3 linked regions of the Drosophila melanogaster genome follow. The protein of the gene in region 1 purifies or fractionates together with the protein of each later gene. This does not show direct contact. Each region holds a gene or a part of one and is shown in the gene's direction. Other genes may lie near its edges.

The links. The genes of interacting proteins can lie anywhere in the genome.
Region 2: the proteins of Fbp2 (region 1) and gsb purify together in Drosophila melanogaster (affinity purification with mass spectrometry, with the first as the bait; one large-scale study listed by BioGRID). This does not show direct contact.
Region 3: the proteins of Fbp2 (region 1) and Rab14 purify together in Drosophila melanogaster (affinity purification with mass spectrometry, with the first as the bait; one large-scale study listed by BioGRID). This does not show direct contact.

The regions. Positions count from the first base shown.
Region 1 is NT_033779.5:9,423,970-9,428,863, forward strand, and holds Fbp2 (Fat body protein 2), read left to right. Parts: upstream 1-2,814; 5' UTR 2,815-2,965; coding exon 2,966-3,289; intron 3,290-3,349; coding exon 3,350-3,796; 3' UTR 3,797-3,948; downstream 3,949-4,894. Other genes in the region: Mco1 (multicopper oxidase 1), read left to right, coding at 1-1,660, 1,727-2,131; CG42847 (uncharacterized protein), read left to right, coding at 4,054-4,426, 4,481-4,533; FucTB (alpha1,3-fucosyltransferase B), read right to left, coding at 4,861-4,894.
Region 2 is NT_033778.4:25,059,902-25,065,922, forward strand, and holds gsb (gooseberry), read left to right. Parts: upstream 1-2,062; 5' UTR 2,063-2,246; coding exon 2,247-2,301; intron 2,302-3,332; coding exon 3,333-4,561; 3' UTR 4,562-4,742; downstream 4,743-6,021. UniProt on the Drosophila melanogaster protein: Expressed in segmentally repeating pattern to define the polarity of embryonic segments.
Region 3 is NT_033779.5:14,354,971-14,360,043, forward strand, and holds Rab14 (Rab14), read left to right. Parts: upstream 1-2,070; 5' UTR 2,071-2,237; coding exon 2,238-2,301; intron 2,302-2,310; exon of another isoform or gene 2,311-2,370; coding exon 2,371-2,484; intron 2,485-2,549; coding exon 2,550-2,730; intron 2,731-2,784; coding exon 2,785-2,967; intron 2,968-3,035; coding exon 3,036-3,213; 3' UTR 3,214-3,794; downstream 3,795-5,073. Other genes in the region: l(2)34Fd (lethal (2) 34Fd), read right to left, coding at 1-27; Pgant35A (polypeptide N-acetylgalactosaminyltransferase 35A), read left to right, coding at 4,410-5,073.

The DNA.
Region 1 (4,894 bases):
AGCCTGCTACGATTGTCCACGGAATCTTACGGACTGCTCCCGACCACATTGTGTCATGGGCGATGGTTTAGAGCGGAGTATCACTGTGGTCAATCGTATGATGCCCGGGCCAGCGATTGAAGTCTGTGAGGGCGATGAAATAGTGGTCGATGTGAAGAATCATTTGTTGGGCGAAAGCACATCGATTCACTGGCATGGTCTGCACCAGAAGAAGACACCCTATATGGATGGTGTACCACACATCACTCAGTGTCCAATTACTCCACATGCGACCTTCAGGTATTCCTTTCCAGCCGATCTCTCCGGCACTCACTTCTGGCATTCGCACACTGGCATGCAGCGAGGTGATGGAGTTTTCGGTGCCTTAATCATCCGGAAACCAAAGACAGCCGAACCACACGGAGGACTCTACGACTTTGACCTCAGCGAGCATGTGATGATTGTCCAGGATTGGATACATGACACAGGTGCCAGCATATTTTCCTATCATCATCACTCCCGAGGTGATAATAAGCCCCACAATCTGCTCGTGAACGGCAAGGGACGTTACTATAATCGCATTTGGGCGGAAGCGAAGCAAGCTCATCGCAGAGCTGAGGAGAGAACTACCCAACCGGTGGAACCATTGCCCAAGTCCCAGGTGGACTTCGTTCAGACACTACCGAGACAAGCTCGATTGGCTAAAACTAATACAACCAAACTATTTCCCGTGAATTCCCGCCAAAAGAGGGGTAATTTAAATGAGATACCCTTGGAACTAGTTCCCCATCAGATTTACACAGTGAGAAGAGGTTTTCGTTATCGCTTCAGAATTATAAATGCGGAATATCTAAACTGTCCTATTGTGGTGTCTATTGACGGTCATAACTTGACAGCCATAAACTCGGATGGCTTTGATATTGAGGCAATGGACGTGGGCTCTATAGTTACCTATTCCGGTGAGCGATTTGATTTTGTACTAAATGCCAATCTCGAGGTTGGAAACTATTGGATTCGACTAAAGGGTTTGATGGACTGCAGCGAAGTCTTTACTTCCGCCTTTCAAGTGGCCATTCTTCGCTATGAGGGAGCTCCAGATGAAGAGCCTACTGCGGAATTGAGTTACGGCCACAAGGCTGAGGGCATTGAACTGAATGTGATGAACCGCGGTCCTGGTTACCCGGACACCAAAACCGTTGCAGAAATGAGGGCTCTGCCCATCTATGATCATGTCTCGGGCATCGATCACGATACACTGAAACCGGAAGCGGACTACAAGTTCTTCATCTACTACGATTTCTATACTAAGAATAATCCCGATTTTCACGATAAAGATCTTTATGCCATGGACATGGAGATGACCCAGCAGAATCGCCTATACACGCCTCAACTGAATCATATAACCTTAAATTTTCCTTCGCTAGCACTGCTACCTTCCAGGAGTCAGCTAAAGGACTCGGACTTCTGTAACGAAACGAGCTTAATGGATCAGGGTATCGATTGTCGCCAGGAGTTCTGCAAGTGTCATCATGTCCTGCAGGTTCCATTGGGCGCCGTGGTCGAGATGATCATCGTGGACGAGGGATTCCAATACTATGCCAATCATCCCTTTCATTTGCATGGAAACGCCTTCAGAGTCATGGGATTGGAGCGTTTGGGCGAAAATGTCACCGTTGAAATGGTTAGTAACTTTGTTCGAAGGAAATAAAAAATATTTATTTAACTTGTAACTATTTATATTCTCAAGATAAAACAACTGGATCAGTTCAATCTACTCAAGCGGAATCTGGACAATCCACCCGTGAAGGACACAGTTACTATTCCAGATGGAGGCTATACCATCATCAGATTCGAGGCCTCTAATCCGGGCTATTGGCTTTTCCATTGCCACATCGAATTCCATGCCGAGATCGGTATGGCTCTGGTCTTCAAAGTGGGTAACGACGATCAAATGGTTCCGGTGCCAGAGAACTTTCCCACCTGCGGCGATTATAATCCAGACTTAAGATCTGATGGAGGAACTACAGAAGATTCGGGATCCAGCAAGCCGATAACAGCTACTCCCCCAAATACAGGAGGCGGTGGATCGGGTCTGGAACCCACTTGGATTACATTGATGATTAGTTCCATGCTAGTGAAACTCTATCGATAAGAGCTGGCCTTCAAAAGAGAGCACAATCCAAACTTGCCAAACGAAATTTAGAGATTATTTATTGAAGAGTTGGAAAGATCGTGTAGATCAAATTGATTTTGATTGATGTAGAAATATATTTGTTTTCCGGCACCTGTACATATTCCATACAAAAATATTCGCATCGTTGTAGCATAAGCATCTGTGATTGTCTAAGAAAATGTTTAAATAAGTCATTTAAATAAATATCTAAATGTTTTTGTAAGATTTTTGGTGTTTCTAATGAAGAGGTAGAATCTTATAATCATGAGTGTAAAATTGCTCTCAAAGATATATATTGAAAAACAAATTTTAACTTTAATGTACATATATATAGAATTCCACAAAACGTAAAATAAATCTGTTTCAAATGTTCCTAATTATTGCAACAATTTATTCGGCAAATTCTACAATTTTATTGTATAATGAGGAACCCAGTCGAAATATTGATATTTCGTCAGGTGGCTGGAGATCAGATGAACCAGCCAACGACCTCGTCGTCGAAAGCTGTCTTATCTGGTCCCTTCTGGCAACAGCTGGCTACGGTCTTGTTGTCGTCTTTTCCAACTCAAAATATCAGGAATGGACAGGGACCTGATCTTCACCCGTTGACCCGATGAAGATAGCTGAAATTATGGCGATGTTATTGCAATCCGAATAAAGTCATCACATTAAATGCGCTGGACATCTGGAATCGGTGCATCTGTGGTGTTATATAAGAGCAGCCACCTACTAGCTTAACATCAGACAGAGTTAGTCACTCATCACATCACAATCCAAGCCACGTCAACCCCAAATAATTAACCCCAAGCAAAAATGTTTGACTGGACCGGTAAGAATGTTGTCTATGTGGGCAGCTTCAGCGGCATTGGATGGCAGATGATGATGCAGCTGATGCAGAAGGACATCAAGATGATGGGCATTATGCATCGCATGGAGAACGTTAAGATGATGAAGAAGCTGCAGGCCATTAATCCATCCGTGAAAGTGGTCTTCATGCAAATGAACCTCATGGAAAAGATGTCGATCGAACAGGCGATGAAGAAAATGGGTCAAATGATGGGACACATTGATGTGATGATCAATGGCGAGGGTGTCCTGCTCGACAAGGATGTGGAGACTACGATGGGCATGAATCTGGTAAGGAATAGATAATTAAATTATTGATTGGTATCTCAACTTCTAAATCCTTTCCCACAGACTGGCATGATCCAGTCGACGATGATGGCCATGCCCTACATGGACAAGACACAGATGGGCATGGGTGGCATGGTGGTTAACATGTCCTCTGTCTATGGCCTGGAACCCGCGCCCGCCTTTTCTGTCTACGCCGCTGCCATGCACGGCATCCTCGGATTCACCCGCTCCATGGGCGACAAGATGATCTACCAAAAGACCGGCGTCATGTTCATGGCCATGTGCCCGGGACTCACCAACAGCGAGATGATTATGAACCTGCGCGACAACGTTACCTGGCACCACTCCGAATCCATGGTGGAGGCCATCGAGAGCGCCAAGCGCCAAATGCCCGAGGAGGCAGCCATGCAAATGATCCACGCGATGGAGATGATGAAGAACGGCAGCATGTGGATTGTGAGCATGGGCCAGCTGAAGGAGGTTACGCCCACGATGCACTGGCAGATGTAAATGGCTTAGTTGAGCGATTATTTGTTAAATCATTTCAAAAAAAAAAATATATAAAAATATTAGGCCTCCCAGTTTGTTTCTTGTTCAATCTAGCTACCATTTACAAATATTTCTTATCTTATAACGATTCCGTGTAGAGAGTATAACTAAATACTTACAAAATTTTGTTTTCCATTGAGATCGTCTTATAAAAATATTTTTTATATAAATATTGGTTCAAAATTTGCAAGACTCGGCTTCTTACCAACAGATGTACCATGTCGAATTATAGGGTTACATATAAAAATCGATGCATTAGCTGTGGCGTCGAAGTACCAGTCCTTTCCACAAATGGATGCCATTTCAAAGTTCAGGACAAATTTAATTCTTGTGGCTCCAAAATAAGCAATCCTCGAAAACGGCCGAGTCAAATAAAAAGGCACAGGAATATTTCTCAAAGAAAGCTAAATAATGGTTTTAAATGGTCTTCATCATCTACGAAAAAACGATTCTATCCGTTAGTAAAGAAACAAAAATTGTTGATGTCCTCAGAGCCCTCTCATAAGGCTCTAATTTTAAGAGAGATGATTAGGTTAGGAAGAAAACCGAATCGAAAGTTCGAAAAGGCTGCGAGAAATAGTGTATTTCCGGGTAAGTAATCATAATGCAATTTAAACATATCATAACGAAAACTTTAATTCTTAGGCATCTGCCGTACGATATTGAAACTGCACCAGTATACTAATCTTGTACAGTAGAGATTACTGATGTCACAGATTCTTTTGAGATCAAAGTCCCCACCATATGGAATCATTTGGATGGATGGATCAATGGATGTAGATGAAATGGGTACATGCAGACATATATTTTTAGAAGAATCAATGGAAATTTAAGTATTTAAATATTTATTAAGCTAACGTACTTATATTGTGTACAACAGTTTTCAATTAAATGGAATAGGAAAATAAAGTCCTGGATGAGGTACATTTACATTGTAAATACCAGAAATGACAGCTTATTGTAAATAGTTTAATATACATTTATTATCACATGGTAAAGTCTGTATGATTGACGTATTTTTCGAATTAAGTATTTGAACTATTACTGCAATTGTTTCCC
Region 2 (6,021 bases), on another chromosome or scaffold:
AAGCGTGTTAGTGGTTATTTTTCAGACGTATTTATTGAAATTGCTTAGAAAATAATAAGCACAGTATTTTGAAGAGCTCTTCATTATACACTAATAAAAGGCGTTTATGACAAATTGTGCCCGACAAGAACGTTTTTTTTTAGTTGTATTAATACGAGAGAGCTTTATTGGAGTTGCCTGTCACGGTCCTTCGTTTGAGAAATGAAATCGAATTCCGCAGCATTTTAAAGCCATCACTCAAGTCAATTCCTTCGCTTGCAGCCTTCGCCTGCCGGTTCACAAATGAATTTTCCAACTTGGGGTAAACCACGCAATGTACAGTTCGACTGCCAGGCGAATACATTGCCTTTGAGCCTTCCGTCTATGACTGGCTTAGAAAAATGTTTCAAAAAACCAATAAAAATGCCGCAGTCAAGGAGTGAAAAGAATTTTGTTATTTGGCGTCGGTTCTGCTTTTTGTATTTACCAGATAAGTTCTTATTTACAAAAGTTAGTCCAGGTCAACGGAGACCTGGTCGATGGAGAGAAACAGAGTCCGAACACTTGCCATTTGAATGCTCAATAGATTCCGATTCATCATTCGCACTGACGCACAATCCATATCGGAATCTGCATCTAAGGCAGTGTCGGCATCGAAGACTTTGCCAATCGCACAGTAGCAGTTTCAGTTGTCAAATGATTTGAGCGATTGCCTTGCGGCAAAGCCACACAGAGCGTAACGGCCAGCCAAACAATGGACCTAAATTATTGCCAAATAGCATATACTCACCATCGCACCCACGCCGAAAGTATCTCACAGATACATATACCGCTGGACGAGTATCTCGACAATTGCCTGCCCCAAAACCAGGGGCCACAAACTTTGTCTACATTGTTCGCGTACATAGCCTTGCCTTGGATATGATGCTGCATAATTTCAATGCTCGCGCACGCGGCGTATACGCAACATGGCCAAAACGCCTTTGATATTGACCGCTCATAGCTAAGCAGTCTCAAAAATTAACCGAGTGCATGACTCGGAAATGAAGTTTACATTTCCTCTTCCTTTTTACCTGTGCGAAAATGTTTTACCCAGCTTCCCACTCAGCAACACATACAAAAGGCCGTTCCCATTCTCTTTTTGTCATGAATATTAATTTTTAGAGTTGTTTTACAGATGGGGCTCTTCTAATTAGCTTTTGCAAACAGTGTCTGTTAAGTAGAGCCAGTAATTGAATCACAACTTCGGAATGAACTTTTAATGAAGCATGTCGACTATTTAGCCATTAGTCTCAATACGGCTGTCTTTAAATTCAAATTCCAATTGAAAGCAACTATTTAATCAATCGCGTTCACTTGTTTGAAAAGTAAAATCCTGCCACAGACTTCACCAGACACGCGTATCTTAGCCCCACGCCTTTTTCCATTTAACCAAGGCCATTGGTTTGGCGAGGGCGGCTTGCAGACAAAATAAAATGCAAGTTAAATGCGTTTCATAGACCGTCTGTTGCGGTCTTAGAAACCTTTTGCATTCTTTTTTTATTTGCCCGTTCATTCAAGGTTTTTCTATGGATATTTCAACAGTTTGTTTGTGGCGGCGATGGAAATAGTGCTCACAATATATTTACGATATTCGGAATCAGCTTGCCAGCTCACCCACCTCAAGCCTATGATTTTCGTCCCAAAGCATAACTTCAAATCAAGCGCATATTAAATAAACAATCATAATGGAGTACCGACTGAGCCCACTCGGAATTTTATAAATCCCAAATCCTTCAGGAAGGGATACTAAACCGAATTCTGTTCGGTTTTCTGGAGGCGGAGCTAAAGAAATTACAGTCATGCTATGGAGTCTCTCTCGTTTCTGGTTCGACGGCACTGCTCTCGCTCACACTTTCAGGCTGAGCAGCTGATCCGCTCTAACCACCGGTACCGATCGCAGCCTCTCGCTCTTGCATCGCCTGGCTGCCGGCCTGCAATTCCACCCTCGCGCCCGCACTGCTTCTTCACTGAACAAAACTAGTTTCTTGGCTCTGAGAATCTCACGGATTCGTTTTAGTCTTGCGGCTGACCGTTTCAAAATCAGTTTCGAGCTGTCAAGCAACCGAGCAGCATCATCATTCACTGCGCACTCGCAACAGCAGATACACACTCCAAAAATAATTTAGAATTCCTAACAGTCGGGCCTCGCGAAGATTAATTTGAAACGTATAAGTAAAAGTGTTAACAAAACTCCGAAGAACTCTCAAAAGGATTACCGCAAGGAAATGGCTGTTTCGGCTCTCAACATGACACCCTACTTTGGCGGATATCCCTTTCAAGGTAAGCACCGACAGATAGATACAAGATCACAACGACCATTACCAATTACCACAATTACTGGTACAAAACGCCAGATTCAGACGCAGAAAAGTGCTGGCTCATCATTTGGGGCAGCGCTTTCGCCCGCTGTTTTCAAACGAGGGATCATTACCCGTTCGGCAGCATGATCAGCTTTCTGACTTATTGATTGTAATCGGCAACTAGCCCGGACAGGCAATGGCCATACCCAGACCCAGTGAAAAGCCAACCTCTTCGAACCCCAGCTTAAGGTGCGGACTTTGCAGACTTTTTGGCGCGACCGTCTTGCCAGCTCATGTCTCGACTCATGCCACGGCGGCGTCGTGTCGCTGGGCTTTGATCTTGAATCGACTCAGTGTCTGTGTTGGAGCTCGGGGTCTTGTGTATCACGTAGCTCAGTAACGTCAGCGCCCCAAACATCAGACCCTGCACAGGGACCGGGCTTTCATTTCTCTTTACGGCTGTTTTGGGGCCGCCTTTTCATATACACACACTTGTATTAGCCGGCGCAGCTGGGCATCTGCTGCTCTTATGGATTATTAGTTTGATTTGATTGCAAAAGCCGGCCCGGGATGCAGCTATGTTCGCAGCCGCGTCCCCTGTCGAGATTGGTATTTTTCCCCACCACCGCATACCATTCGTCTGCAAGAGGCTTACTATTTTCTCAAAAAGGCCCACGCAAATGACCAATTTGCGTTTTGTTATGTCTACAAATGGCTATGGTATCGTTTGTGCCAATCTTCAACAAAAGATCGTGCGTATTGATCCTGCGGCTTATCCTGATTAGTGCAGTTCAGTTAGTAAGCAATTGAAGTGGTCAATGCCGTCTAACTAGATTACTTTCTTTCGCTCAATGGAGCAAGGAAAAAAGTTAATTTAAATATCGTTCCGAAAACAAGACCACACAACTAACGTACTTAAGATATTGTAATGGGATCAGACTTCCATGGACGTACTTACGAACAAATGCTGACTTGCAAGTGTATTCATGCCTGTTTCTCTAATTCTTCCAGGACAAGGTCGTGTCAACCAGTTGGGTGGCGTCTTCATCAACGGCCGTCCGTTGCCCAATCACATCCGTCGCCAAATCGTGGAGATGGCAGCAGCTGGAGTCCGTCCCTGTGTCATCTCCCGCCAGCTGCGCGTCTCTCATGGCTGCGTCTCAAAGATTCTAAACCGCTTCCAGGAGACTGGCTCCATTCGGCCCGGAGTAATCGGTGGCAGCAAGCCCCGTGTAGCCACGCCAGACATTGAGTCCAGAATCGAGGAACTTAAACAGTCGCAGCCCGGTATTTTTAGTTGGGAAATCCGCGCCAAGCTAATCGAAGCGGGAGTCTGCGACAAGCAAAATGCTCCGTCGGTGAGCTCTATTTCGCGTCTTCTGCGAGGATCCTCCGGATCAGGGACCTCCCACAGCATCGACGGCATCCTCGGCGGAGGCGCTGGTTCTGTGGGAAGCGAGGATGAGAGCGAGGACGATGCCGAGCCCAGTGTGCAGTTAAAAAGGAAACAAAGGCGTTCCCGGACGACATTCTCCAACGACCAGATCGACGCCCTAGAGCGCATCTTCGCCCGTACACAGTACCCCGATGTCTACACCCGGGAGGAGTTGGCCCAGAGCACGGGATTGACCGAGGCCCGTGTCCAAGTTTGGTTCTCTAATCGCCGTGCTCGTCTGCGCAAGCAACTGAACACCCAGCAGGTGCCTAGCTTTGCTCCCACATCTACTTCTTTTGGCGCAACTCCCACTACCAGTGCCGCCCCTGCTCCAAACATGGGAATGAGCCTTTACAGTTCACAGAGCTGGCCATCATCCGGAGCCTATGAAAATCATGCTGCCTATGGTGGATCGGTTGCATCCATGTCCCCCGCCAGCAGCACCTCGGGTACCAGCTCTGCCGCCCACAGTCCCGTACAGACGCAAGCGCAGCAGCCAGGAACTGGAAGCGAGTTTATGACCTCCACTTACGGCGTGGGATCGAGCAATGCTACTTACCCATCGGCTGCCTATTCAATGCCGCAGACTCCTGCTACATCCGCGGAGCAGCTGAGATCCCAGTTTGCATCTGCCGCCGCTTCGGGCTCTCACCACCCCTCCACGTGGGACAGCTACAACTTTGCGGGTTCCTTTTTCCCTCCCGCTTCTGCCGCAGGCAACCATATTAGCGGCTACCATCATCAGGTTGATCAGAAGAGCTCAATGATGACCACTGCACCAACCTATCCATACTTTGGATTTTGAGACGATCCCTGCTTGTTCCTAATCTTGTGGGTCGTTTGAAAACTTTAACAGTACTTTAATGTTGCTACTCGTATAGACCTACATTTAACACCCCTAAGACTGTTTAAATTAGTACTTTAATACAAATGTTAGTTTTAGGTTAAGGAGCAATTATCAAAACAATAAAAGAAAACATTTAAATAAAACCCAACGGTTAGTTTTATTTCTGAGAACTAAAATATACCTATATATAATTTAAAAATCAAGAAATATGGGATCATTGCGTTTCTGTATACCCAGAAAAAATAAAGTACGAAAAGCTTTATTAGCTCGTTAAACATAATGATATCTCTTTAATCCCGCAATTCTTTACCTTTTCAATGTTTCCAAATTCGTATTTTATAAATTTCAAACGGTGATTTTTGATTTAAATGTAAGTGTACGGTGAATTCAATTAATTCTGAATGGAAGTTATATCCAACCATATAAATTTTCACAATATACTCAAGCCGCTTACACTTCATTAAACTAATAACAATTCTAGACCACACACATCAACAGTTTTTGTCAAGTTCCTGTGGCAACCTAACAGGTTAACAAGCCCATCCGAGTAATCCCTCAAAATAGTCTAGAAACGTTTCTTTAAATTGTCAAAGTGATGTTAATCATCGATCGTCTTCAAATCTGTGCAGATTGGAAGAAGGCCGTGATCTGGATGAGGGCGCTCTTTAGGCATATTCAAACAAAAACTGGCTCATGATCTGACCATTAAACAATTAGAGACAAAAACGGACAACACGTACTGCGGATTTGATAATACAAAAATAATTAGGGATTGGTGAATGGTTTGGGAAAACCACACACATCGCAGCAAAATAGAGTAATTGACAAGGTAGATGGGCAAAGTATGAGCAGTGGAATCGGGCGACCACCAACGTCACTGAATCGTGACTTTTAAGATGCCGCCAAATGTGGGCCTTTCCGAAGATGATAGGACCCGAAAAGGCAGCCAAGTGCACACAGAAATGAACAAAGCCATTGACAATATGACAGCGAGGGAGGGCAGGACTCATACTTATATCAGGCTTCTCCCCATGCACTAGTTACGGACGATCGGGATCTTGGGTGGTGTTGCTGGTAGGTACAGCTGTAGTTAGGACGGACCTCGACGATCGGTGTCTTTCTTCAGGACCTTCCCGCTGCTCCCAATTATGTGTGCTCAGCGGGCGTTGCACTTACCACCTAGAATGAAAACGTTCCCTGGCGGTCAGAGTGCCTAAATGAAAACATCAATTAGCTCCTATAGTCGAACATCGCCAGTTCGAGGATCTGGAAGGTCCTACGACGACAACAGGTTCGGACTTTTACAAGGGCGATAATGTGTGTCAACTGTGACAATCATAATTGATCGCACATCTCGTCCTGGGGATGTCTTTCCTGTCTGTTTCCACTTTGTCGATCCCACTCCATACAGTAGCCTG
Region 3 (5,073 bases), 4.9 Mb from region 1:
CACATCGTTAACTTCGTTTACGAACATCTTGAGGGACGATTTTTGCTCAAAATTAAAACATAAACAAACGAAGTCCGCAACACGTGCGCCCTCTATCGATAGACACGATTGTCGATAGCATCTGGCTGCGATAAGCACCTATCGCGGCAGTGTGACCCTTGGCTTGCCAATTGCTCAGTGTGACCGCAGGAAACCAAGCAAAACAAGAGAACGCAAAAGCAGTGAAAAAAGACTACTGATTTGCATCGACCTACCAATTGAAAATAATCGCAATAATTGCCTCTCGGTGCAGCCCCGCAACCCCGCGAAGCCAGTGTGCGTGCTAGCACGAAAGTGAACTGCATTTTGCATCGCCAAATTGCCCAAAAATTGCAATCGAATTCCGCACAGCCAAACAACAATACGCACACATACACACAGTACCCCCCGCTCTGCGTAACCGCCCTACGTTACACATTCCGTTCGCTCCCTAAGGTGGACTAAAACTAAAGTGATCTAAAACGGTGAGTAATATTCGTTGTTTTTCCTTAAGCCAATTAAACACTGATTAAATTATGCGAAATGGAAAACCGTCTGCGAAGGGGTGACGCAGTGCAGCTGTGGGTGCTCCGCAACTTTCCCTTGTGCTCTCGCTCTCTCTTGTTTTTGTCGTTAGGCAGCAGCACTCCATTGTTGTTGTATACACCCCCTGATTGCTTTGATACCCTGCAATGGGGAGTTACTGTTTTGTGACCAAGTTAAGAAAATAAATATGATTTACAAAAATCGATTAATTCTGGGGATGTTTCAGGTTTTTATGGTGTATAATTTATTTTTTGAATTTTTAGGGGATGGTGGGGCAAAAACGGCCGCCACTCTACTTAAAAATCGGTAGGTGAGGAGTTTGTTTAGTATACGCTATAAATAAATACTCTAAATTAGTTTTTATAAGATGGATTATTATATGAGTGTATGAGTTATCATAGAAATATTTACCTGTGCTTATATATTAATTTATTATATGAATTATGCAAACAAGGTTTTTTCAAAATGTAGGCGAGCATGAATAAAAAATTATAATAAATCAGAAGTTTTCTTAGTAGTTGTTATCAGTTATTAATATATTTCTTTTTCATTTTGTTGTGTCTTATTGCGTTGTTGTCTTCAATGCGGGCTTATTTTATTAGTTTGAATGGATGTGCGCTTATTTGTAGATACTCAAATATCAAATCGTATTCAGTTATATCTTAGAAATGGAATATAAAGCGCACATTTATAAAAGTATATTTATATTTAAGATTTTTTGCCAAAGGGTATACATACTTCGTCTGTGTATAAATATATATTTCTCATACTCCTTTCGTTATTTTCCCTGTTATGGGTGCGCCGCTGTGTTCCTTTTATGAGGGGCAATGATGATCCACTTCCATTCAACACATTTTGCAAATAAGTACATATGTACTTCGCCTCCATTGATTGCTCCACTGATGTTTGGCCTTTGGCGCTTGACTGATAAGACTCGAGACCGAGACCTACTACTTAGTTAGTCTAAACTGCCCGTCATAGAGCCTATTAAACTGATATGCACTTGTCACTTTGACAAGCAATGATAAGCGATTATAACTGTATTTGATGATTTAAGTATGAGCAATTAAGAATCCATAATTGATACTCATCTTTTCACACTATATGCTGCTAAGTCACATTCTTTTGTATGAAATTCATTCATATGAAGTAAGGCAGGATGATTACCCTAAATACAAACTAACTTGATGAATAACTTCGCGCGTACTGCTCTTAATAATTGAATTCCCACGATTGCTTGCTCGGCGACCTTGATCCAAATCGCTTTCAGCTTGGGCGAAGGGTTCAATTCACTCTCTTCAGCGCCCCTTAACTGCGGACAAATCAAAGGCTTTCGAACGACACGGATACTGCGAATGGACAAAGTCAAGTGGCATGAAGTGGATATACCCGCCGCTCTTGAAGCTTGCCTCTTTCTTATTTTTTTTTTTTTTTGGCTTCAGTTGGCAGGCAAACAAACCCGGTCGGCTGTTCAAACACAAGCAGGCCTTAAAAAGAAATATCGGGGCCAGTTCGAGAAAGGGGAACAAAATGTGGTGTCGACGCAGAACAAATTAATGCAGCGCCTCGGTTTGTTGATAAGCAGCGACTACGGTTGGACATTCAAATGAGGAGCTGATAGTAGTAGTTAACACTGTTTGATTGGGTCAGAGTTCATTTCTGCCGGTGTCAAGATGAGCAAAGTGCGCAGCGTGGTGAACAAACTGCACGAACGCATAGACTACTTTATTGAAAAATGTGTGAAATATTCTATATACTCAATGACTCTGCAATGTAATAATAATAATAATTTCGCTTGCTTTTTAGGTCCCAACATGACTGCAGCGCCATACAACTACAACTATATCTTTAAATACATCATCATTGGTGACATGGGCGTGGGCAAGTCCTGCCTGCTCCACCAGTTCACCGAGAAGAAATGTGAGTAGACTGTGCTGAGTAATAATGTATGTAATAAGAACTAATCTCTACTTGCCGTCCTGCAGTCATGGCCAATTGTCCTCACACCATTGGCGTGGAGTTCGGCACACGCATCATTGAGGTGGACGACAAAAAGATCAAGCTACAGATCTGGGACACAGCGGGTCAGGAGCGATTCAGGGCAGTGACACGCTCCTATTACCGTGGAGCAGCTGGTGCGCTGATGGTCTACGATATTACCAGGCGGTAAGCGAAGCAAGCTACTATTTGAGAAATTGCTTTACAACTTGACCATTCCAGCTCCACGTACAATCACCTGAGCAGCTGGCTTACCGACACTCGCAATCTCACCAATCCCAGCACTGTGATCTTTCTCATTGGCAACAAATCGGATCTGGAGAGCACTCGGGAGGTTACCTACGAGGAGGCCAAGGAGTTTGCCGACGAGAACGGCCTAATGTTTCTCGAAGCGAGCGCTATGACGTGAGTTTCAACTGGAAGCATAGTGTTTGAGCATATACTGATTATCTTTTTTTTTATCGCCCAAACAGTGGCCAGAATGTGGAGGAGGCTTTTCTGGAGACCGCACGCAAGATTTACCAGAACATCCAGGAGGGTCGGCTCGATCTGAACGCCTCCGAGTCCGGAGTTCAGCACAGGCCATCGCAGCCGTCGCGAACTTCGCTGAGTAGCGAGGCTACGGGCGCCAAGGATCAGTGCTCGTGCTAAATGAATGATGGAACCTAACTTTACGCAAAACCTAGTTATACAAATCAACTTTTATTTTTAGCCGACTCGTAATCTACCGATGCCCAAGCAAAAACCAATGTATGTAGTTAAATAATTCGATTAAGCATCAATGTGTGAGCCAACAACAGCGACAGCAACCACAAAAAAAAAAAAAAACAGAAAAAGAAAATATAAAGTCCTTTCGCTTAATAAGACGCAAGCATTGCAACATTTATTGTATCGGTTAAGCATAAATACTAGAAAATTAAACATGTTTGTTGGCGCAAACTAAAGTTTTGACCATGAAATTTCGAAAAGTTTATCGCACTAACACCATCCTTCGGTCTCAATTTATAGATGAATTCGTTTGAGATATAGATCATGTTTTTGTTGGCTGATGAATCCCTGTATATAATATATATATGTATGAATTTTTGTATCTCCCTAATTTTTTGTTGAGTATTTGTTGTTGTCGCGTGCAAGAATTGGAGGAAACGATCAATGTTATATGAATATTTACGATGTATTAATGGCATAATGCAATAGGAAATAAATAAAATGGTATTTATAAAACCCCTACCAATAGAAATGAATTTCTCTTTCAAATAATTTAAATTTTAATTTGCATATTTAACCATTCGTTTATATTTAATTCTACACCAAATCGCTGGATAATTTTATAATTTACCGGATTTCCATTTAATAGATTTAAATTTTATAAATATTTGGGTACTTACGATTTACTTAAATATTTTGTAAAAAGCTTTTTTAATCCATTTAGTGGAATACCCTCAACTTTGACTTGCGCATAACTTCATTCTTGTTTTATTTAGTGATGCTAACGTTGGGTTGGAAATCAGCTGATTATGACTATGAACAATAAAGTTTGTAAGTCAAACAACGATTTTTCGTATACTGTTCTTTTGTTTGTTGCTGGTTGTCTAATTAATCATTTTAACTGGTTATCAGTCCAATTTTTGTTTTCTACACTACACTATTCTACACTATTTTCGATTTCCTTGAAATTTAGCGGGAAAAACTCTGAGCTAGCATCTTCGGTGGCATCGCTGTGTGCGCGCTTTTGTGCGAATGCCATGGTATGCAAATTAAATTTAATTTATTCCGATCATCATGAAAGTGACAAAGTAGCTGCTTAAGTAGCCAGGGAAGCGCACAACGTAATCTAATCTCGATCCATGATGCAAATCAAGCGCCTCCTGTGCAAATCCTGCGGCCTGGGCACCCTTCTGGTGGCGGTCGTCTGGCTGCTGGCGCTGCTTTTCTACTCGCACAGCCTGCGCAGCTCCATCCGCTCGGCAGGATGGAGGATCGACGAAGGGAACGCAACGCCACGGGCCGAGCTGAGCTACCAGGCCAGGGTCACCGTCGGATGCACTCCAAATGCCAGCATTACCACTGGCGAATCGCCGGCGGCACCCAAGCCGCCCAGTGATCCGGAGCAATTGGAACTGTTGGGTGTGGTGCGCAACAAGCAGGACAAGTACATACGCGACATTGGCTACAAGCATCACGCCTTCAACGCGCTGGTGTCCAATAACATAGGACTCTTCCGGGCGATCCCAGACACTCGGCACAAGGTGTGCGATCGCCAGGAGACCACGGAAGCGGAAAATCTGCCCCAGGCCTCCATAGTCATGTGCTTCTACAACGAGCACAAGATGACGCTGATGCGCTCGATTAAGACCGTGCTGGAACGCACGCCCAGCTACCTGCTGCGCGAGATTATTCTGGTGGATGATCACAGCGATCTTCCAGAATTGGAATTCCATTTGCACGGGGATCTGCGTGCCCGCCTGAAGTACGACAACCTGCGGTACATCAAAAACGAGCAGCGCGAGG